Linked DNA regions of Mus musculus: regions 2 and 3 are each reported to be linked to region 1. Evidence: microRNA targets listed by miRTarBase, many of them from high-throughput screens and not tested one by one. Region 1 holds a microRNA gene; each other region holds the end of a gene's coding sequence.
What was found. Region 1 holds the annotated microRNA mmu-miR-10a-5p (UACCCUGUAGAUCCGAAUUUGUG, at 2,502-2,524, opposite strand). A microRNA usually pairs through its seed, bases 2 to 8, with sites in the 3' UTR of a target mRNA and lowers its output. Matches are read on the target gene's strand: a 7mer-m8 pairs with bases 2 to 8, a 7mer-A1 pairs with bases 2 to 7 and ends in A, and an 8mer does both.

Region 2: the mRNA of Vsig10 is a reported target of mmu-miR-10a-5p. Seed matches in the 3' UTR shown: 7mer-m8 at 4,148-4,154.
Region 3: the mRNA of Iffo2 is a reported target of mmu-miR-10a-5p. Seed matches in the 3' UTR shown: 7mer-m8 at 3,925-3,931.

What each region holds. Positions count from the first base shown.
Region 1 is chr11:96,312,594-96,319,709 of GRCm38, reverse strand. It overlaps Mir10a (microRNA 10a), which reads right to left and starts at 2,545; the gene lies at 2,436-2,545. It overlaps Hoxb4 (homeobox B4), which reads right to left and starts at 1,443. Exons shown (of 2, transcript NM_010459.7): 1 at 487-1,443. The coding sequence starts at 940. It also overlaps a transcript of Hoxb3 not described here.
Region 2 is chr5:117,351,774-117,358,889 of GRCm38, reverse strand. Vsig10 (V-set and immunoglobulin domain containing 10) reads right to left here. Exons shown (of 10, transcript NM_001033311.3): 9 at 7,099-7,116; 10 at 3,884-6,139. The coding sequence ends at 6,084. It overlaps Wsb2 (WD repeat and SOCS box-containing 2), which reads right to left and starts at 1,585. Exons shown (of 9, transcript NM_021539.5): 1 at 1,417-1,585. The coding sequence starts at 1,429. Gm42012 (a long non-coding RNA gene) reads left to right here and starts at 2,030. Exons shown (of 2, transcript XR_878716.2): 1 at 2,030-2,263; 2 at 3,117-3,400.
Region 3 is chr4:139,615,038-139,622,153 of GRCm38, reverse strand. Iffo2 (intermediate filament family orphan 2) reads right to left here. Exons shown (of 9, transcript NM_001205173.1): 8 at 7,093-7,116; 9 at 1,772-5,826. The coding sequence ends at 5,721. Among named protein-coding and RNA genes, the nearest start is that of Aldh4a1, 4.3 kb to the left of the region's middle.

The DNA of each region.
Region 1 (7,116 bases):
CGGCTTAGTTCCCACCCTCACTGCTCAGATTCCAAGCAGCGCCTTCCCCTTAGTAAAAACTTTTGCCTACTTCTCCAGCCAAGGTACCAGATTGGAAGAAAGGGGAAAAAAAAAAAAAAAAGAAATCCAGGAAGTTGATTCAACTCTGTGCTTAAATAGGGATTACCTCCTCCTCTTCCTTCTCCTCCCCTCCTCCCACACCCCTCCCCAACTTCCAACTTTACTGGGACTGCGAATCCCTGGCGAAAAAGTCGCTGGGAGAATGAAGAAGAGGATGACTTCAAAGGCGCAGGGCCCACTAGGCCATAAAAATTTATGGGCGATGTAATTATGTGGCTCTGAAAACAGGAGACCGTAAATCTCTGGCAATGGCGAGTTTATAGCGGGGACAATTGGCTTCCCCTCGCTCCCTCCCCCACATGCCTCGGAGGTCCCTTCACTGTAAAGCGCCGGGGGTGGGAGGGGAAGGGGTGCCCACGCACTCACCCGTGCTCACGTGAACTTTGCGCATCCAGGGGTAGACGACGGGCTCTTTGCACGCGGAGTGGGACGGGCTGGGATGCAGGGGGTTCTGGGCGCAGGGAGGCGGCGGGGGGCTGCTGCTGACCGCCTCGCTGCGCTGCCCGGGCTCCGGGAGGAGGGCCCCGGCTGTTGGCTGCACTGGAGCCCGAGGGGACAGCCCGGGCGGTGGCGGGGGCGGCGGGGGCGGCGGAGGTGGCGGGGGCCCGGGGTCTCGGCAGGCCGCGTAGCGCTGCACAGTGCACGGCGCCCGGCGCCCAAAGGCCGCCTCCGGCTGGAAGCCGCTCTCTCGCCTCTGGCCGCCGGCGTAGTACCCGGGCGAGTGGTCGCTGGGTAGGTAATCGCTCTGTGAATACTCCTCGCACGGAGGGAACTTGGGGTCGACATAGTTTGAGTTGATCAAAAAGGAACTCATAGCCATTAATTTCTGGGAATTGCCCACAAAATATACTAAAATTTATTCCGACCCCTGACTCGTTTTCCTGTTTCCGAAAGCCCTCCTACTTACTGTCAAGTGAACAAAGTTAGAGGCCCACGTGATCCTCCGAGCCAATGGCCACCCGGCCTGCGATTCCCGGATAAGGAAATCTGCTCACCCGGACCCTACTCCAGCCAAAGAGGTTTATTTCCCCTTCTCTACCCCTCCCCACCCACCCAACACCAGGATTTACATAGGGCTCCCGCGGGGAGACCCCCTCCTCGCCTGGCTTTCTCCACAACAGAGAGGGGTGATGAACTAAGAAAGAGTGAGCAGGTTAATTGGAGGGCCTGTTTGGGGGTGAGGGGGCTGGGCAGAGCACAAACCCTGCATCCCTCAGAAGTTGGGGCTGCGGGTGTAGCCCCCACCCCTGCCCTACCTAATCTCCACCAACCTTTCTCTGACTCCCATAGGGCCCCATCTCCTCCCCAGGATAAGAGGGAGCTCACGCACTAGGTGTCTGTGTGGGGTTTTAAGTGGTTGGCCGACCAGGGAGCGCCTTCTTGAAATGGGTACCCACTAGGTCATAGGGGCGCTGAGCTTGGGGCTTCTCAGTGCAGCCAGATGGGGAGGGGTAGGAGGTGAGTGAGGAGGCGTCGGGAGCTAGAAGGCGGGTGCGCAGAGGGACTTGTCAGAGATGAATGGAACCGCGAGCAGATCGATAGGAAATTCACGCACTAATTCGGGGAGACTTCGCCTTCCAAATCGCATTTAGCTGCACTATGAGCATCGGCTGTGTCCGTCAGTCTGTCCTCCTCAACACTCCCTCCCTTTAACCCACAAGGCCCAAGGTCAGAGGAACGGCTGGACTCCCTCCACTAAAGACAGAAGATACAATGAAACCAAACCAAACCCGCAAGTTCCTAAAACCAATTGAATAGTAATTTGCTAATTCCAGATTCGTCGAAGCAATGCTAACCAAGAGTTCTAATTGCCGCTAAAGCCGCCGCCTCTGTCAGTGTGGCAGAAAGAAATTTCACAACCTTGAATACTAAGTAAAGGAGCCCTAGCTGTGACGCCCCCACCAACATCACACGCACAAGAACACCCATGGCAACCTTATGTTTTCAGGGCATCTTGTCTTGAATTCAACGAAACAGCAATCTTCGCATCCTTTTAAAAAGCAAATTTCCTTTGCCTTTGCACACTGCAGCCTTCAGCAATCTTTTTTTCCTCCTCATGATTTCCAATAAAGCCCCCTGGACCCAGAATAAGAATAGGTAGGTTGGGGCTTAAAGATAAATTTTAAAACACCAGTAACATTAATCTCTTGAGTGAACAAGGACCCAAGCTTCCAGGGGTGTGCATGGGGACACCTCAGGTAGATGAGATTTCTCCCTCATTGGTTGAGGGAGGAAAAGAAAAGGAGTCTTCTTGAAGGCAGTCACTGGATTGTCCTCATTTAGAAAATAATCTATTTTTCTTCTGGGAAAGAATATGAGCGGAGTGTTTATGTCAACTACATATTCCCCTAGATACGAATTTGTGACCACAAAATTCCTTACACAAATTCGGATCTACAGGGTATATACAGAAGACAGACAGGTCTTCTTGGCCCAGGAAATTTCCAGTTCTCTTACTTTCCGTGCGTTCTTCTTTTGGGTGTGATCTGAATGTTTTCATTTTTATTTCGTTTTGTTTTAATTTTGAGATCTGGGAGCAGAAAAGTCACTGTGGGTCCGTTCTTGGGATTACAAGGGGTTTCAACTTTCTATTCAAAAAATAAAATAAGATTTTTTAAAAAGGCAGCTGTTGTGCAAAGGGACTCGAACCTCGTGGCTGCCGCGCGACTTTCGGTGGCGCATGAATTATTAGATGTAAACATTAGCTAAGCACAAAAGAAGGAAGGGTCATCCCGAGGCTGCCTCGAAGTCAGAATCAGGCCTTTCTGGGTGCCCTCGGCCCCTCCCCTCCCCCCATGACTTTTTTTTTTTTAAGAAAAAATACAAAACCCCAAATAGGTTCCTCCCTTGCCCCCACAGCCTTTAGTTTGTGATCAAACACATATATAGATATTTTCCAAAGCAAAGGGAGGAGGGAGAGGTGTCTGGGTGTGAAGGGGGTGTAATAAAAGTCCTTTTGGAAAAAGTGAATGCTAAAAAGAGAGAGAAAAACAGCTGTGAGGAAAAATGCTGGGAGACCAAACAGATGGCCCCCCCCCCCATATTTAATGACGGGCAATTCCGTTTACAACCTGAGAAGAAGATCAAAGGCAGTTCATTTCCGAATGAAGGGCAATGAGGAACCATAAAAGTTGCAGCCAGATGATGTGCAGGCCCCTCCCAACCTCACATATCCCCCCCATACCTCCTGGAGGCTGGAATAAGGGGACACCCCCCTAGAGGTGTGAGGAGGACCCCCCCTACCCACACCTTATCCCCAGGCAAGGATCCTCTGTCTAGAGGCTCACTAACTGGGCCCATCCACCTGCTTGGGTTGCTGGCTGTGTGGCCAAAATGGGATTCTGGAGTTTTTGGGTGAACTTCCTGAAGCTCCCACTAACATTTGACTTTTCTAAACTGAAAAAATGAGAAATTGAGGATCTGGAGTTTAAACTGGGAGAGCTGTGACCAGGTGAGGGCAAGTGTGTCCAGCAGAGTCTTTCTCACTATCACCACCGCTATAACACCCTAGGCTTGGGGGATACTTCTGCCCTTACTGAGTAAATTACAACACAGTCAATTTCATGAACATACACAAACAAGCCAAACCCACGCATGCACACACCAGGAACCCTTGCAAATGGGCAGGAGAGCTCCCACCTGCAGGCAACTGGGTCCAGAGACCTCAGTCTTTGTTGTTGTTGTTGTTGTTGTTGTTGCTGCTGCTGCTGTTATTGTTAAACCTCATAGATCTAGGCATGGCAATGTTGTCCTCTGGGTTTGTTTTCTAACCCCAATGCCCTCCTATAGGCCAGACTCATACTTAACTGGAGAGAGAGTCAGAGAAAATACATTGTAGTTTTGATCTTCATCAAAGACGGGGTTCAATTTAGTCACCCATAGACAAAGTGTGCTGCTTTGACCCAAGCATCAAGCAAGAACAGTCCTCTCAAAAGGTATTTAGAAGTACCACGACCCACTCCAATGTCCAGGCCCCTCCCCTATCCCATATCTCCTGTCCTGCTCTTGAATACTGGTCTAACTCTGTTTCAGAGAGCAGCTAGTCTACATTTTGCTGATCTATGCTTTAACAAGGGATGTGGCCCAGGTTTCCTGAGCTCCAAGGGAGAGGAATAGGGATAGAGAGATGCAAAGCTGGGTATGGTTGAACCTAGGGCCGGAGCACTGAGATTTTCGCTTTTGCGAATAGGAGAGCCACCACCTGCCCTCCCACCAAGGCGCAGCTGCAACCCCCATCCACACTCCCTCCCTGTGTAGACGCCAGGGGCGGAAGACAGGATTTATCTGCAACTCCAGGACAGGTTTCATTGCAGCTACACGCAGCCTCACCTCTCTATGTCTAGAATACCAACAACAATAACCATAACAATGAAAACACGCAGAGCCAGGGGCTTGGGCACGCTCTCTGCCCTATCTCTAGTGCTCCGGATCCTTTAGAGGCCACTTGGCTGCCTTCTCCTGGCAGCCACAGGTTGCTAGTGTGACCCCTCGCTGCCCAGCCCAGCCCTTCTCCGCCATCACAGGCCTACCCCCGGCGGCACAGAAAAATCATCCACCTTTTATGGACGAGTTGGAAGGGAAACAGAGAGGAACAGGAACCCGAGGGCCAACCGGAGGTCAGTCTCTAGCGGGTCCGGGCACCCCAAGCGCGTTGAGCATAGCAAGGGCCTGAGCCGGCAAGAGTACTCACCCAGCCGCTCCCCGCCTGCTCCAAGCCGACCGGCCGTGGCCCGCTGAGCAACAGCGGAGCTCGCTCCTGTCCACTATTGTGTATCCGGAAAACCGAACCGCGGCTGCGGGCAGTGGAACCACATGCCCCCTCGGAGGCCGGAAAAGGACTTTTTTTTTTTTTTTTTTGGTGTGTTTTTGTTTTTGAAGAGCAAGTTTTCGTATTAATCTCATACTTTGGCAGTCTTTGTTAAACAGCAGGCGCGTCACGAGGTTCTCGAACATTTTAATAATTTTTAGACGCCGTGACCTGCGGTTCACCCCTCTCCGGGCCTCCCCCACGAGCAGGCAGTTAGTATAATATGCTCACGCAGTTCGCTCGGTCATATTGAATTTTGCGCAGGTCATTACTTGGGAGAAAAACGACAGAGCAGGATTTGATTCAGTTTACCCTCTCCAGTTCTACTTTTCTCTGTTCCCCCACCCAACCCCCAACCCCCAAAAGTCTCCATTCCAATGCGATTCAAGCTGACCCGCCTTTGCTTTGATTTTTCCATCATTCCAATATTTTTGCCAGCTCCCGTGCCCAGCGCTGAGAGCAAGACCGTGTGACCCCGTGGAGGGAATCCTTCGGAGGCCCGAACACTAAACAACTATGCTGGCACTGGCACCTGAAGGGCAGAGAGTGTGTCACTGGGCATCTAAACCCTAGAAAGCAGGCCTCAGTCAACGGTTTCCTTCTCTGATGTCGCCCTAAATGCTTGCACTCTGCAGGGCTTGAGTCAACTGAGACTTCTTCGTCCACTCTGTCGCCCCAAATGTCAGCTACAGGGACACTTCTAAAACTTGGAGGCCCCAGAGTTCCAGACTTTCCCACCTCTCTGGATGGAGCAATTAATCCACAGCAGAGCCCTGGGAGATAGGCTGGATTGCACTGCTGGAGGCTGAGGCTGGAAGCTTGAGGACCTGGCTTTCAGAGGCTGTAGTTGTCCCTAAAACCAAAATACTCCTCATCCTTAGTTCTCACTCATTCAGCCACTCTGTCCCCACCCCCCAAGACCAAGGTTTTAAAATCTGGTGCAATGTCAATGTCTATAATAGCTTTCCCTTTCTCTGGCCCCCAGCGGACTGGTTGAGTTAAGCCAGATGACTCTTCTTCCACGCTGGTAGTGGTACCCTCTGCTATGGATGGGTTGGGAAAATACTCTCTAAGGCAGCCAGTTTGGTCTGGGGTGGCAGAAGTCACTCTTCCCTTCCCAAAACCTTTTTTAGCTTGGGACTTTGGGCCACTCCAAGTCTATTACAGATTTTTTTTTAATTTGTCATTATCTTCTCCTAAGATGAAGGCAAATGAGACTTAGGAGGAGATCAAACAAAATAGATTCTCTCCTTGCCCCTGTAGCCTCTACTCCTCAGGCCCCAAGACTTCCTCTCTGGACTCCACCCCCACCCCAGAGAATCTCACTTGAGAACTAAATAAAAATAAGATTCCAAACACCTTTTAGTTGGGGTGGGAGGACCTTGGGGTTAAATTGACTTGAAACTTGCTATTAACCTTTTTCTTCCTCATTGGCTTTATTTCAAAAGTCATCTTTACAAAAGCTCTCAGGTTTTCTCCACTGTGGAAGGACAAACACCCACAGTACAACTCCTATAGCGAATGTTTAGAAGAGACTGTGATGGCATCTTATAATGCAATAATCACTTAAAGACCAAAATAGGCATATGCTTTGTTATTATCACGGTCTCTAGGAAGCATTTTACTTATGAACTAAGCTTAATGCATAGACTGAGGGTTCATTTCAGGTCGCCTGCTTCAACTCCATTTACAAAGATCTCCAAGTGATCATTAGGTATTTTTCCATCACACTTGCCCTTCCCTCCTCCAAAGAGGGAGAGAGGGAATCCGGATGAACATCCAAACGGAGGCTTGGGAGAGAATGAGAGAGCAAACGACTTTTCAATGCCCTAGTTCTTAAGCACGACATTTAAAAGAAAGGATGGAGAATTAAAAAAGAAAAGAAAATCTCTAGCACTGACCCAAAGTCTTGAACTCAGCTTCCTGCAACTAGTCTAGGAACTAGGGGTCTGGGAAAACAGGGGACATCTTTCAGGTGGGTGAGGAGCCTGCAGTTATCCCCTTTAGGGCGAGCAGGGTGGGACTGATGTGAGAATCAAGCCTTCACCTTGGAAGCCTTCTTTTGGTCCTGCCAAACGTCCTGCAAGGACGTGTGGGTAATTGGATTTTTTTAAATGTGTGCGGCTGGGTAGGTTTTAATTAAATTTCATGTGGTGACTCAAAGGTTATCTTTGGGAGAGAAAATCGTG
Region 2 (7,116 bases), not on the chromosome of region 1:
TGCAGACAAACTGGCAGTTAAAACGCCCACACAGAAAAATTCTTCCGTCTCCAAAACATTCCTATAATTTTTGTTTCATGGCATAAATTAAACTTGAAATATTTTAGATACGTTATCCTTTTTAATTTCAACTGTTGCCTTTTTTTAATGTGTCTACGTTTAAATTACATATTGCTATTATATTACTCTGGGCCAGCAAGGACCCAGAGGGTGCCCGGCACATACCAGATAATAAATATTTGTTGAATGAATAAATTAATTGTAACCACCGTTCTACTGTTTTCTACTGTAATCCTTTTACAATAGACATTATTCAGTTTGAAAAGAGAGTAAAACTCTGGCCTAGTGTCTGGCCTTTTTAACAGTAGCTTGGTAGCTCCCAACAGCTCTGCCCACCGCCTACCACACAGACGTCAATCACTAGGGAAAAACTCTGCACTGGAAAAGATTCCGGTTTAAAAAAAAAGTGTGTGTGTGGGGGGGGGGAGGTGGTCTGGTCACAGATTGCTTTGAGATACAACTTTGAGGCATCAATGGAAACGAAAACGGAAGCTATAAAAAGAGTCACAGAAGAAAACAGTAGGGGCCATTTAAACAGAATTCTATAGGGAAGATACTGAAAGGTTTTAATCTAGATGGAAACCCGGGAGAGGAGCTGCCGCGACACCTTTCCCTGAAAGCCTGGCTCCTGCAAACAAAGAAATGTCATTTCCTAAATGCAAAGGGGACACCACCCCAGGGAACACCTGCCTTTCCAACAACCCCATCCGGCCCTGCCAGCCCTCTGGTGCATCCGAGTCCTCCAGACCTGGGTGAAGCTTCAACTTCACCGGAACAAGTCTGAGCCCTAGGCCTTGACTCTTAAAATCCCCCTACGGAATCTGTCTTTCAGCTCCGGTATTTGGGGACCCTGGAGTGTGGCGACAGCCCCCTCCCCCAGGTCCCCAACCCACGCTACTATTCCGTGATCAGGACGCTGGGACAAGAGCCCTCCAGGGAGAAGCCCCGAGGGGCTGCAGGTCTAGCCATCCCTAGCATCTCTGCGCTTTTCCAGGCGGCCAGCAAGTTCATCCCGTGCTCTCACTTTGAGCTTTCGTGGTGACAGCTGTGGACCTCACCCACTAGGGTGTCGGGACCTACGTGTCACCCCGGGGCAGTGTCCGGGGCCCCACCCCGTTCCCAGGCACCCACCCAGCGGCCGCAGCTACTACCGAGCCGCGATGGGCGCTGAGGCCAGAAGCCCGGCCATGGCGCAGGCGACCCGGGGACTCTGGAGCCATCCCAGTCCAGTGGGCTCGCTCAGGGACGGCGGCCGGTCCCCGCGGTGGCAGGAGGCCGGCTGCCGCAGCTGACAGCGAAAGTGAAACAAAGCTGCCCTCCCCGCCTCGGTCGCCGCCCCGCCGCGGCCGCACTCACCTCCGGCCTCCATGAGGACGCGCGGCCCGCCCCAGGCGGCGGGCGCCTCAGCCCCCAGGGCCGTGGGCCTTCATTCCGCGCCCGCCCCGCCGCGGCCGCGCCCGCCGCCGCCACCACCGCCGCCAATGCCGCCGCCGCTGCCGCCCGCAGAGGCCATCAGCTGCTTCCCGTCACATGGCGGCCGGCGGGGGCGGGGCCGGGGCCGGGGCGGAGAGCTCGCAGGGGAAACGCTGGGGATGCGGGGGCGGAGGCGGAGTGGGCGGCGGGCGCGGGACGCGGAGCTTCGAGGGGGACGCCGAGCTGTGGGGACGGAGGCGGGAGGCGGGGGGCGGGGAGCGGGGGGGGGGAGGGAACGCCGGACTAAAGGGACGCGGAGCCCGGAGGAAGCGGGGCTAAGGGGACCCGAGGTGGGGGGGAACACTGGGCAGAGCAGACAGAGAAGGGGGCAGGGGAGCCCCGGGCAGGATGGGGTTGGGGGTCTCCGAGAGCATCCAAAGTGGAAACCTAAAATTGGAGCGAGTAGAGATGGGGGTGGGGCGGGCAAGGGCTGGGGGTGTCGTGGAGAAACCTAAGGGACTGCTCGCTCGCTCGAGGCTCAGGGAAGCTGCCCGGGTCATGATGCTGGCTGGGGGGCAGGGAACTGGGGATCCCAGCGGGAGCTGAAATGCTGGCCTTGACAACGGCCCCAGCGGGAGGGATGCTGGGAAAGCCAAGGGGGAGGAACTAAGGGGAGAGGAGGTCAAGGTTAACCCCCACACACCCCGAGATTTCCCTCTTCGTGTCCTCAGATGCTAGTGCCTCGGGTCCTGGTCCTGTTTGTGTCGGGTGGATTTAACTTGGAGCCAGGGTAGGAGAAAAGGGGTTTTAAGTAGTTCCTGTAGTTGTTCCTTGGCTTTGGACTTTCTCATGGGCTCTGTAATCCCCTGGTAGTGTCCTGTCACCACCCCACCCACCACCCACACTCAAGGTCGCTCCAGTCCCTTTTCCTGTTTCCAGCCTGGACTTTTTTTTCTCCAAGTTCAATGTCCCCATTTCCTTCCCTTTTGAGTCATAGATCTCTTTGTAATGTGGAGCCAGGGAAGGAAAAGTGATGGGTTTAAGTCTGCTCTCCCATGTTTTTTGAGCTGGAACGGTAGGAACCTTGCTTCTACATTCTTGCTTTGTATGCGTCTCTCTTCCACTTAGCGTTTAGTCCAGGCACACTATTCATGACCCAGTTCTCAGGTCTCCTAGAAGATACCCGCGGTTTATCAGTTGTCTGTTTTGAGGACACACACACACACACACACACACACACGTTTTCTACCTCCCTGTCCCCTTTCTCGTTCTTCATTCTTACTTAACAGCCTCCCTTAACACACTCGATATCTAAAGGCATTTTTTTTTAATGGCTTGTTCCTCACCCTTACTCAGCCCCGGGGTTCCCGTTTTATTTCTGATGTCCTTCCTGATCGCCTTAGATCCCAATTCTATTCTCCAGACTTAACTTTCCACTATTTCCCAGTTCTTTTTAACGTGTCATGTTTCCCCCATCTCTACCATTTTCTCATCAGTGTTCTTTGTGAATATATTGTGGAGGCCAACGGTATTGTCCCTAGTATGTCACCACTAGGGGTGTGTGTGTACATGTGTGTGTGTGTGTGTATACATGTGTGCATACTTGTGTGGGAGGGGTGGTTTTGCCTGCACATACTTTCCAGGTCTCCAAAGAAAACAGAAGAGGACATGGGATTCCCTGGAACTGATGGACAAATGATGTGAGCGGTCCTGTGGGCAATGGAAATTGAGCTCAGTCCTCTGCAGAGCTGCCAGCGCTATCACCGAGCCATCCATCCCTCCAGCTCCTCCTTCCTGTGCTTCATTTCCCAAATGCCATTTCCTGCTGTCTTTAGGGTCTCATTTTTAATGGTTTGGTTTGTTTCTATTTTAAGGCACTGGAGACTGAACCCATGCATAGTTAAATAAACACTCTATTGGTGAGCTACGTCCTTTACTGTACTTAGGCATTCAGCGTGCACAAGTCAAGTGGTAACGGGGACAAAAGAAAACCACCTTTACAGCTCTTTTCTTCCAAATGGCTCTTTAAATGCCCGTTTACGTATCTTCTGTTTGTGTGTGTGTGTGTGTGTGTGCGCGCGCGAGCGCAGCTAGTTGAGAGATCCCGTGGCATGTATGTGGACACCAGGGCACAACTTGTGGGAATATGTTCTCACCTACCATGTGGGTTCCAGAGATTGAATTTAGGCTTGGAAATAAATACCTTTACAGGTTGAGTCACCTGGCTGGCTAGCTAGCTAGTTAGCGCTGATGTTTCTTTAGACAAGGTCTCTTTCTGTAGCCTGGGCTGCACTCAGTCAATCCCACACAGTCCTGCCTCAGCTTCCCAAGTGCAGGGATTACAGGCATGAGTCTGAACCCCCACTCTTTACACCCACTGGGGAGGCATAAATCAAGACCATAGAAATGTATGTTTTTTAAAAAGTAACTTTATTCCAAAGTCTTAAAAATGTATAACCTTAGAACTAATTTCTCCCAATTTTTTTCCTACGAAATGGTAAGGTCAACCACGTTGACCCATCTGCAGTTTTTCTTTGCAGTAGCTGGTAGCCAGTTCTGTGGTGAGAAGTTTGATTGCTGTACCCAGTGAGGAGGATACCTTCTATATCTTTTGAGTTTGAGGCCAGCCTGGTCTACAGAGTGAGTTCCAGGTCAGCCAGGGCTACACAGAGAAACCCTGTCTCGGAAAAACAAAAAAACAACAACCATGAAGTGGTTTTCTTCCCAGTTCTAACAAGTGGAGTTCATCAGTTAACTAATACATGCAGATAAGAATTATTTTTTTAAAGACCAATGCACAAATTGTACTTTGGCATTTAACACATATGCCTTGAGATCTGGGTATGGATGGCATCAACGGAAAGAAGGGATGTGGGCTCCAGTTTTTAACAAAGCCTTAAAACAAAGCCCTTGGTGCCTGGGCTCCAAACTGAACTGCCCCTTTATAAATGTGCACACAGGCTGATAAAATAGACAGTGGTAACTGGCCAGGGCTTGAGAACAGCGGTCGGCACCAAGCCCTTGAAGCTCTCATTTGCTAGTGGAAAAAACCCTCAAGTATTTCCTACCGCCAGGTGTGCACATAAGAGGAAGTTACGGGAAGCACCGAGTGATCTCACCAAACATTCACCATGTTCCCAGATAGCCGCTTCCCCTCTAACTTCTCTTTTAAAGTTGCCTCTGAGTTGCAGACAAACTCAGGAACTCTTGTCATCAGGCTTCAAAGGAAAGACCAGCTCGAAGGACTGAAGGCAACCTGAGTATCCCACCACGAAATGACAGAGTGCCTGAGGCACCACTAAGCAAGAGAACAGGTCATAGCCATCCCCAAGGGCTCCCAATTCACAGCCAGGTGGACTCCTCCACACCCTGACCTCAGGGTGGGCCACAAGGGGAGCGGTTTCTTCACTTTAGCCCCTGCATTCAGAGAGACCAGACAACCTCTCCCACATCGTGCAGGTACTTCTGTTAACCAGCTCCACAGGAAACCTCCGGCCCCAGTGTTAGGAAGTCCTTAAAGCCTTAGATCTTGTCCTGTCTGAGCAGGATGTGCCCAAGAGATGTACCCAAGTACAGAGTGCAAATTTCAAGTCAGATTTTCATGGTTAGTACAGACCTACTGCACCCTTAGAAGATCCCTGACTTCAGAATGTTTAGATGAAATTTTAAAAAAATAAAATAAAATAAAAATCCCCAGAACCCAGCTGTCCCAAGCTAAAGTCATCACCCACTATTTTCTTTTGAAACTTACTGGCCCAGTAAGTAGGATGGAAACATATACTCCCATTTCCAGAACACAGACACTAAGTCCAAATGGACCGTGTGTCCAGTTCGTTATCAGGTGATGCTCTGTTAGCACAGGAGACATGAGGAAAGAGAAGCCTTAGGTTCGTCACTTAGGCTTTCATAACCAGATGCAGCTCTGCCTGTACACCGTGAAGGAGAGGAGAGGTGCAATCCTCTCTAGGGGAAAAAGCATAGTTGGGGTGGGCGGAGCTGAGAGTCTATAATGATGGCCCCTGCAGTAGCTCTGTGGAACCCCTCCCTAGGCACTCCTACACCCCGAACTACCTCCTCCATCTCTCAGGAGCCTGGAAAGTAGGTACTGTTTCAGGGGTGTTCTTGATAGGAAAACAGACGCAAAACAATAAAAGAATTCAAGCCTTGGGCCCAAATCCAACTGCCTTTTGGTAGCTGACCCCTCCCCTCTGCCAGGAAGGTTCCTCATGTCCATATTCGTGTTGGGTAAGCTGTCTACAAACCTTGACTAATGGCACAGTGCACAGGTACCAAGTGCCCCACCCCACCCCAGTCCCCAATCAGTGTCTGTCACAGTACATCACCTGGGTAGAGTCAGTATCACAGCCAAGTGGGCCCCTCAGACTCCACTACGGCCACTGCAGCTTTGCCCCACACCGGCTGCTCCTTCTCAGTGCACTTCACACTGCTGAGGTGAACCCACACCAAATGAAGTCAGTGGGAGATGACAGACGGAAGAAGAGATGCTGTGCCTGTGCTGCAGAGACCCCAGCAGTCCCTAACACAAGCTCCCCAGGGCAGCACGGTGAGATGGGGGGCAAGACAGCACCAACAGTGAATCGTCCTCTTCATCAAACTGGCTTGCCATCCTCTTGAACAATGCCACTCTGCTGCCCATCACTGTCATCTGTCGGTGCAAGAGATGGAACTGAGTGATCTCACCGGCAGGGGAAGTGTTAACCTTCTGTCTCCTGTCATCTTGGTGACTTGTGAGCCCCAAGAACTGGAGTTCATAAAGGAGGTAGGGCAGGGAGTACAACAATCTTCTTTTTGTTTTGAGACAGGGTCTCATGTAGCCCAGGCTGGCCCCAAACTCACTATGTAGCTGAGGATAACTCAACTTCTGATCCTCCCGCTTCCACTTCCCAAGGAAGCAAGGAGGCTGCCTAGGCATTCACAGATGATACAGGACTTTCTTTTCCTAATTCAACAATCCCTGTACTGCGTCTTCCCCCATAGACTTTGTTGGATAACTTCTTCTCTGTGCTGCTAGTTTTATGCGTATTGATTGTCTTACCCAAATGCCTGGGTGATATGGACTTTAGACTATGGGTAATTTGCATCTACAGAATGACAGTCCATGAGGTGGGACCCAAATCTAAACAAACATGAGCTCTATGAATATTTCAGAGTTCCCTTAAGCAGGTCTCACTTGTAGGTGATTGTATAAAATATTTCATTTTATTGTTTGCTTATGTAGTGGGGGCAAGTGGAAATCAGAGAACAACTTTGGGGAGCAACGTCACTCCTTCCACCAGGGACTGAATTCAGGTCACCAGGCTTGGAAGCAAGAATCTTTATCTATTTAGCCATCTGGCCAGCTCCATTTATACAACATTTTAAATAACCTCATGCATGAAACAAAGTATGTTGCAGCGTCAGTCTTGCGGCATATGCTGACACTTAAATGTTTTACATTTTGTTTATTTCGGAATGGAGCACTCAACTTAGCATGGAGTCTTGGGTTCTAGACTAGACTTGAGCCAGCTAATTTGCCTAGGCTTTAAGAAACTGCCCCTATTTATTAGAAACACCCTCCAGGAAACTCTATACAGATTTGAGGGTCTGGAAGGGAGGCAAGCTTACCCTGAAACTCCTGGAATC
Region 3 (7,116 bases), not on the chromosome of region 1:
GTTTTTGTTTAATTTTTTTAATTTTTTTTTTTTGGCTTGGTTTTACTTTTTCAGACAGGGTTTCTCTGTGTAGCCTTGGCTATCCTGGAACTGGCTCTATAGACCAGGCCCTGAATTTACAGAGATCCACCCGCAGGTCTGCCTCCAGAGTGCTGGGATTAAAGGCCTGCACCACCACAGTCCTGCTTCAACGTGTTTCTCTGTCTTTGACAATGTAACCAGGGCATTTACTTTGGGGTCCCTCTGGTTCTAATTTGATACCACACTGGGCAGATTCGCCTCAAAACACCATGACCAAAAAGCAAGTGGGGAGTTAAAGGTTTACGTGTGCAAATTTTCAGCTCATCACTGAGGCAGGAACCTGGAGGCAGGAGCTGATGCAGAAGCCGTGGAGGGACGCTGCTTACTGGCTTGCTCAGCCTTACAGGTGGACCGCCAGTCCAGGGGTTGGACTACCTAGAATAGGCTGGGCCCTCCCACATCAATCACAAATTAAGAATTTTTTTTGCCCAAGTAGCTGTGCAGTGGTAGTGCATACCTTTACATCTAGCACTTAGGAGGTAGATGCAGACAGATCTCTGAGTTTGAGGCTAGCCTGGTCTACAGAGTGAGTTCCAGTCTATACAGAGAAACCTTGTCTCAAATAACTAAAATGATAATAATACTAATACTAACAATAATGTAATAATTAATTAACTAATTAATAAAACAGAAAAAGAAAGAAAAGGAAATGCCCTACAGGCTTGCCCACAGGCTGATCTTTTGGAGACATTTTCTTTTTTTTTCCTTTTTCTTTTTTTTAGAAAAGATTTACTTATTTATTATATGTAAGTATAATACTTGTTTCTCTTCAGATACACCAGAAGAGGGCATCAGAAACCATTATAGATGGTTGTGAGCCACCATGTGGTTGCTGAGATTTGAACTCAGGACCTCTGGAAGAGCAGACCGTGCTCTTAACTGCTGAGCCATCTCTCCAGCCTTGGAGGCATATTCTTAAAATTTTTTGTCCCCTTCTTTCAGATGCCACCAGCTTCTGTCAAGCTGACATAAAAACTATCCCATGCAGGCTCTGTGGACCTCGGTTTCCTCTTCTGTTAAATAGGATGATGTTATGCACCTTGAACACCCGTCACCCTGGTCTTCCCCCTTTCCTGCCAACTACTCCATTTAAGGCACTCTAGGAGATGGGACTAGGAAAGAGCTACATCATGTGACCAAGCAGCAGTTTCTCTCCATCCTTGGAAATGGCAGCTCACAGTGGAGGGAGGCCACCTTTGAATGTGGCCCTTTGTTAAAAGCAACTGTAACAGTGGACAATATCAAATCCAGAGTCCAGCAGGTGCTTCTTGTAGACATTCTGGGGAGGTCTGTGAAATAGGGGCTTTGTAGCTGGTGGGACCTCAACTTTAGACCAGGCAGTGCCAATTAGCCTAGGGTTTCTTGGGGCCTCTTCTGTCTAATTCTCCCTGCCTTAGGTCCTTCTGGGAGGTTTTTTATGTTGGTGTGTGTTTGTTTGTTGTTACTTGGTTTCTCAAGACAGGGTTTCTGGCTGTCCAGCAACTCACTTTGTAGACCTTGAACTTACAGAGATCTACCTTCTGAGTTCTGGGATTAAAGGTGTGAGCCACCAATGCGTGGCATCCTGGAAGATCTTACTGTGAGATGCAAATAGGCAAGTCCCCAATCTTATCACTGATTGGTTAATAAGTTTGCTTTAGTCTTCTTACCCCTCCCACAACCACCAGGATACAAAGCAGCATAAACCATGTGTGCTAAGACATTTTACTTTATTCCAAAGAAGCCAATATACACGATATAAAGGGCACAGTATTTACAACAGTACAGTAAACAGGTTGGTTTTCTGGTAGGGTCAGTAGTCTTTGATGAGTACAAACCCCTCCCGGTGATTTTCAGACCCAGCTGACAGACACAGCAACGGTGGGTAGGGTGGGACTAAAAACCAGGTAGATGCTACAGTGTGTGGAAAGGGGTCGTGTCATGGTGGGGAATTCACATGTCCTCGAGAGCTTGGGAAGGAAGTCATAAGGTGAGGAGTTTGCCTGAGACTCACACACAGTCCACGCTGAGCCTGGAAATCTTTTCCCAGAGTGTGTATGGCTTTGCCCAGACCCGTCTCCACTCCTCCCACTAGGTCAGTCCCAGAGGGAGGACCCAGGTCTGATGAAACCCTACAGAGTCCTGGTCCTTCATCCACAACCAAGCTCGACCTTGGCCTGGAGTAGACACAGACAGGGCTGAGCTCTTAGTGTCCTGAGTCCCTTCTATGCCTGCTCCAGCTGCCTGACGACTTCAGACATAGTAAGTCCCTATGCCCCTAAGAAGTCCTGTGTCCCCCAACCCCACAGAACCTCCCTCCTACTCTCCCCACACAGCTGAATGGGAGCAGGTCTGGCCAGAAGGGAGATGGGGTGACTAATTAGAACCTACCTCTCCCCCACCTCAGTTTTCTGCATTCCACCCTCCCTCCCCACTCCCTTCCAAGACTTCTAAGGAGCTGAGGGCCGGGGAAGAAGAAACAACAAACTCCCGCCCCAGCTGTGTGCGGACGTTCAGTGAGGACGGAGGGCAAGCTGAGGAGAGGGGTTTACTGTTGATTGTACACCGGAGTCAATGAACATGGCGGTATCTTATCCACAGCAAAATGCTGGGCCACCATGACTGCCTACCCTAGATTAAAAACCTTTTCCTTTCATAAAAATACAGTCTCTTGCTTCATAAATAGAATACATTTAGCTTAAGTTACACCTCATCTTACCCCTAACCCATCCCCTCTCCTCCCACCCTAAAGTCAAAGTGGTTTGACTCTTCATAGGACATCTGAGTTCTACCCCTAAAACAGAGTCCAAAGTGTTCATGCCTTCCAGACACACTGCCAACGGGAAGACAAAACCTCTTCCCCATCTTTCTCCTTTGGAGTCTTAGTGGAGTGTGTGTGTGTGTGTGTGTGTGTGTGTGTGTGTGTGTGTGTGTGTTTCACGACCAACCAGGAACCTGAAAGGATGCTGTCTCCCTGCTGTGCCTGTGTATGTGACCCCCAAACTAGGAGCATGGCCAGGGGCAACACGGGGAGCCCATCTGAGAAGCCCTGAGCCCCCCCGTGTCAATATGACACGGGGCTCAGACATAGAAAAGTCAAGAGAACATATGTACATGTTTACACGGGTGGACAAGTTCGTCCAGACAGGGCAGGCGCTGCCCCAGTGAGAGGCGGCCCCAGTGAGGGGTGGGGTCTTTCTGGGCAAGCTGTGGGCTCACAGTGAGCACAAGCAGGACCCACTGGCAACGAACTACGAAACGAACAAACCAAACACTAAGAGGAGGCCAGGCCCAGAGCCCAGACCAAGCCAGGAAACATGCCTACCACACCCTTGCTCCTCTCCACTCATCCTCCTGCCTCAGAGCTCCACCTCCCAGGGGAAAGCAGACTTTGAAAGTCAGCAGGAGGGAACCCAAAGGAGTCTGCTTTTCTCATGCACACCAGACAAATGACCTATGTATACAGGTGGGAAAGTTAAATAACACCAGAGACCAGCAACTACACAGTAGCTGTGTACACAGCCATCCCCTCAAACGTTTACGCTGTTGCTTCCTGTCTTAACGCTAGAGATACATGTCAGCCCACCACCTCCATGAAGAACGATCAAGGGCTGGCTTCTGCTCTGCCCACCTGACTACCAGACTCTACCGCTTTACCGCTGGATGGAAACGGTCCCCAACCTCAGTCAAGGACCCATGAGGGCAACCCTCCTCCTGCCCTCACAGAAACGGAAATCTTTACAGCAGCTAAGGTCCAGGCCCATCTGGCTCTGATAACCTTTGGTTAAAAAAATAACATAGAATAAAATAAAACCAAAACAATAATATCAATAACACACAATAATAATAACCAGAAGTGTATGAACCCTGTAACCTTTAAAAGAAGGATTGGTGAGAAAGGGGAAGAGAATAGTGAGGACAGGGGCTGTGTCTTTTCCCAAACAATTGTCCCTCCAAGTACCTGCACAGGGACCAATGGGAAACCCCTCCCCACATCATGGAAGACACACGTAAGAAAGGCCACCAAGTTCTGATAAGTTACAAGCCACCAACAAACACATCCTCTCTCCTCTCTATCCATACATAAGCCTACTATGTACACTGGCTCTAAGTGCAAAACAGATAATGGAACCACCTAGAGAGAAACAGAGGGATAAAGAGGAGGCTCGGGTACCACTATGGTTCCAGAGTCCTCTGCCCTTTACCACCCAGGCCTCAGAGGGCCATGGGTTCTGATCCCTGGGGACATTTTGTTCCTTTGAACTCCAGAGGAACCCACTGGGTCAATAAAAACAACATAGGCCATCAAAACCACTAGAGTGGACCCCAAAATAAGGAAAGAAATAAAAACAAAACCTGATTGTTGCTAGGCAAGTCGCCAGCTGCTCTCTGATAGACGGATGCTCTATCTTATGGCCCCTTACCTCAGGCCCCAGGGGAGCCTTGGGGAATCACTGGCTCAGCGTCCAGACAGATGGGTATGGAAAGCATGTATGAATGAGGACGGTCCTCACTTGAGGCTTCTCTCCAGTCATTGCCAGCCTGCCAGCAGCCATGCCACTCCCCCCCCCCCAACAAGGCTTTTTCCCCCCAGCCAGAGGGACAACGGAGGACCAAGACGGTACTGTGGAGGACAGAGTAGGTAGCAGGCCTGGCCTGTTCATACTTTCTCACAGAGAAATTACAACCATGGAACCTGGCAGGTGATTGGAGAGGCGGGAATGAACATCAAGTCATCAGGAAAATAAAAGACCACCACCCACCCCACCCCACCCCACAGAGGTCCCCAAGAAAACCATCAGTCCAGTGGGCCGGCTTGCAGAATGCAGGCAGGCCTTACCAGCAATCTGACTGGGACCACCCCCAAAGCCACCTCTGAACCTCAGAGGCTATGAGGGACTCATGCCAACCTTGGCCTCTCTCCCAGTTCCCAGAAGTCTGAGAGAGGGCCTGCCTTCCCCAATGATATAAGGCAAGCTGCTTTTAGGTTTTTTTGTTTGTTTGTTTTTTGTTTTTGTTTTTTGCATAGTTTAAACACAGTGAGGTTCTTCCTTCCCCCACAGTGCCTTTCCCCGATACATCGCCACTAGATCCAAAAGAAGAAGAAAAAAATTGGTCTTCCCTCCCTCCACTTCCGTCCACCACTCTATCCCTGGGTGAGAAAGTATTGACGACTCCTCCTCGCCCAGCTCTGGAGGTAACACAGTCTACTTCCTTGAGAAAGCAGACCACCGCAAGTCATCTTGGGACAGAGGGAGGGAGCAAAGCTCATGTCCAATCAGAGGAGCAGGTGGGAGGGAGAAAACCAAAAGCTACCACGCCTCCAGGCCCCACCCTCACCTTAGAGTTTTATATTTAAAAAAACACCTGCTAGGAAGAATTCTTTGGAGCTCAAAGTGGCTCAGCTTAAGGGAGAAGGCACAGTTGCACTGCATCGACGCACAAAAGTCTGCGTTTGTGGTGTGTGTGGGGACAATAGAAAAATCGACAGCACCATTCCATGGGTCGGTGGTGGAGGAAGGAAGGAAGCAGCGGTCCCGCTGGGCCTCCGGAGAAGGGAGGACAGAAGTCTGTGTCGAGGAGTGGAGCCCACACGGCTCAGTGGGGAGAGGAGGCTGGACCCCATCACCAAGACCACCAGGAGCGTCGGGCCTCCGTCATCAGCTGACCATGGGCTCCACATCCGCCTCCCGCTCCAGGTCTTCCTGGATTTCGTCTGTACTTCCTGAGTCACTGCTGGCCACGGAGCTGGGGGACGGTGAATTCCTGCATTAGAAACCAAAGCCTTTCAGAGAGCAGCCTGGGGGACCCTAACGGCCCAGGGCCCGGAGCTCTGGCCGGTCACACCTGTTAAAAAACCTACCCGAAGGGTCTGGGGTGAGCAAAACTTTTGCCTAGTATGCACAAGGCTCTGGGTTCCACTCTCAGCAACAACACAGTGGCGGCTACCCTGAGGGGCTCCTGCTGTGAGATCCCTGCAAGGCGCACTTTCTCCCAGTCCCTGTAGGTTCCATAAGCTGCCTAGGGCTCTTGGCATTCCTTGGGACCTCTACCCTAGCCACTGCTTACTGTAGCGTGTGGCTTCTCTTTGGGAGTGGGGGGTGGGGTGGTCGTGGGTATTCATTCTGTAACTTTCCATCATCCCTGGTCTGAGCACAAAGTGGTGCCCTCTGAAAACCCCAGGTAACAAAGCGATGCCCACTGAAAACCCCAGGTAACTGGGAAGAAGGAACCTCAGATAAGAAAACGCCTCCACCCACCGAGCATGGTGGCGCACGCCTTTAATCCCAGCACTTGGGAGGCAGAGGCAGGCAGATTTCTGAGTCTGAGGCCAGCCTGGTCTACAAAGTGAGCTCCAGGACAGTCAGGGCTATACAGAGAAATCCTGCCTCGAAAAACAGAAAAGAAAAGAAAAAAGAAAGAAAAGAAAAGGCCTCCATCAGACTGGCCTTCAGTCGTAATTAATGATTGGCGTCAGATCTCAGCCCGCTGCGGGTGATGCCACCCCTGGACAGGTGGTCCGTGGTCCTCGATGCTATACAAAAGCAGGCTGAGCAAGCCATGGAAAGCAAAATGGTAAACAGCTGCCCTCCATGACCTCTGCACCATTTCCTGGTTCCAGCTTCCTTCCCTGACTTCCCTCAACAACGGACTACGATGTGGAAGTCTAAGCCAAGTAAGCCCTTTCCTTCCCAACTGCTTTCCGTCATAGTGTTCATCACAGCAACAGAACACTAACTCAGACGCTCTAGCACACAGCGGGCCTTTGACAACTCTCTGTTGAACCGATCGATCGTGATGGTGGTGGTATTATTTGTTTTGTTTTGTCTATACATTAGTCACCTAGCACATAGTAGGTATGCTCGTGATGGGGGCTTGGGGGGAGGTGGATGGATAGGAGGTCAGACAGAGGGTCGGAAAAATTAAAATGTAGTGAAGCTGCACGAGGCAGCCCCGAATGTCTCTCTGTAAAGCCCCCACCCACCATGGAAGCCCTGGGGCGCATGCCTATGCGCATGCGCACAGCCGCACCTGTCTGCAGAGCCTTTGATGAGC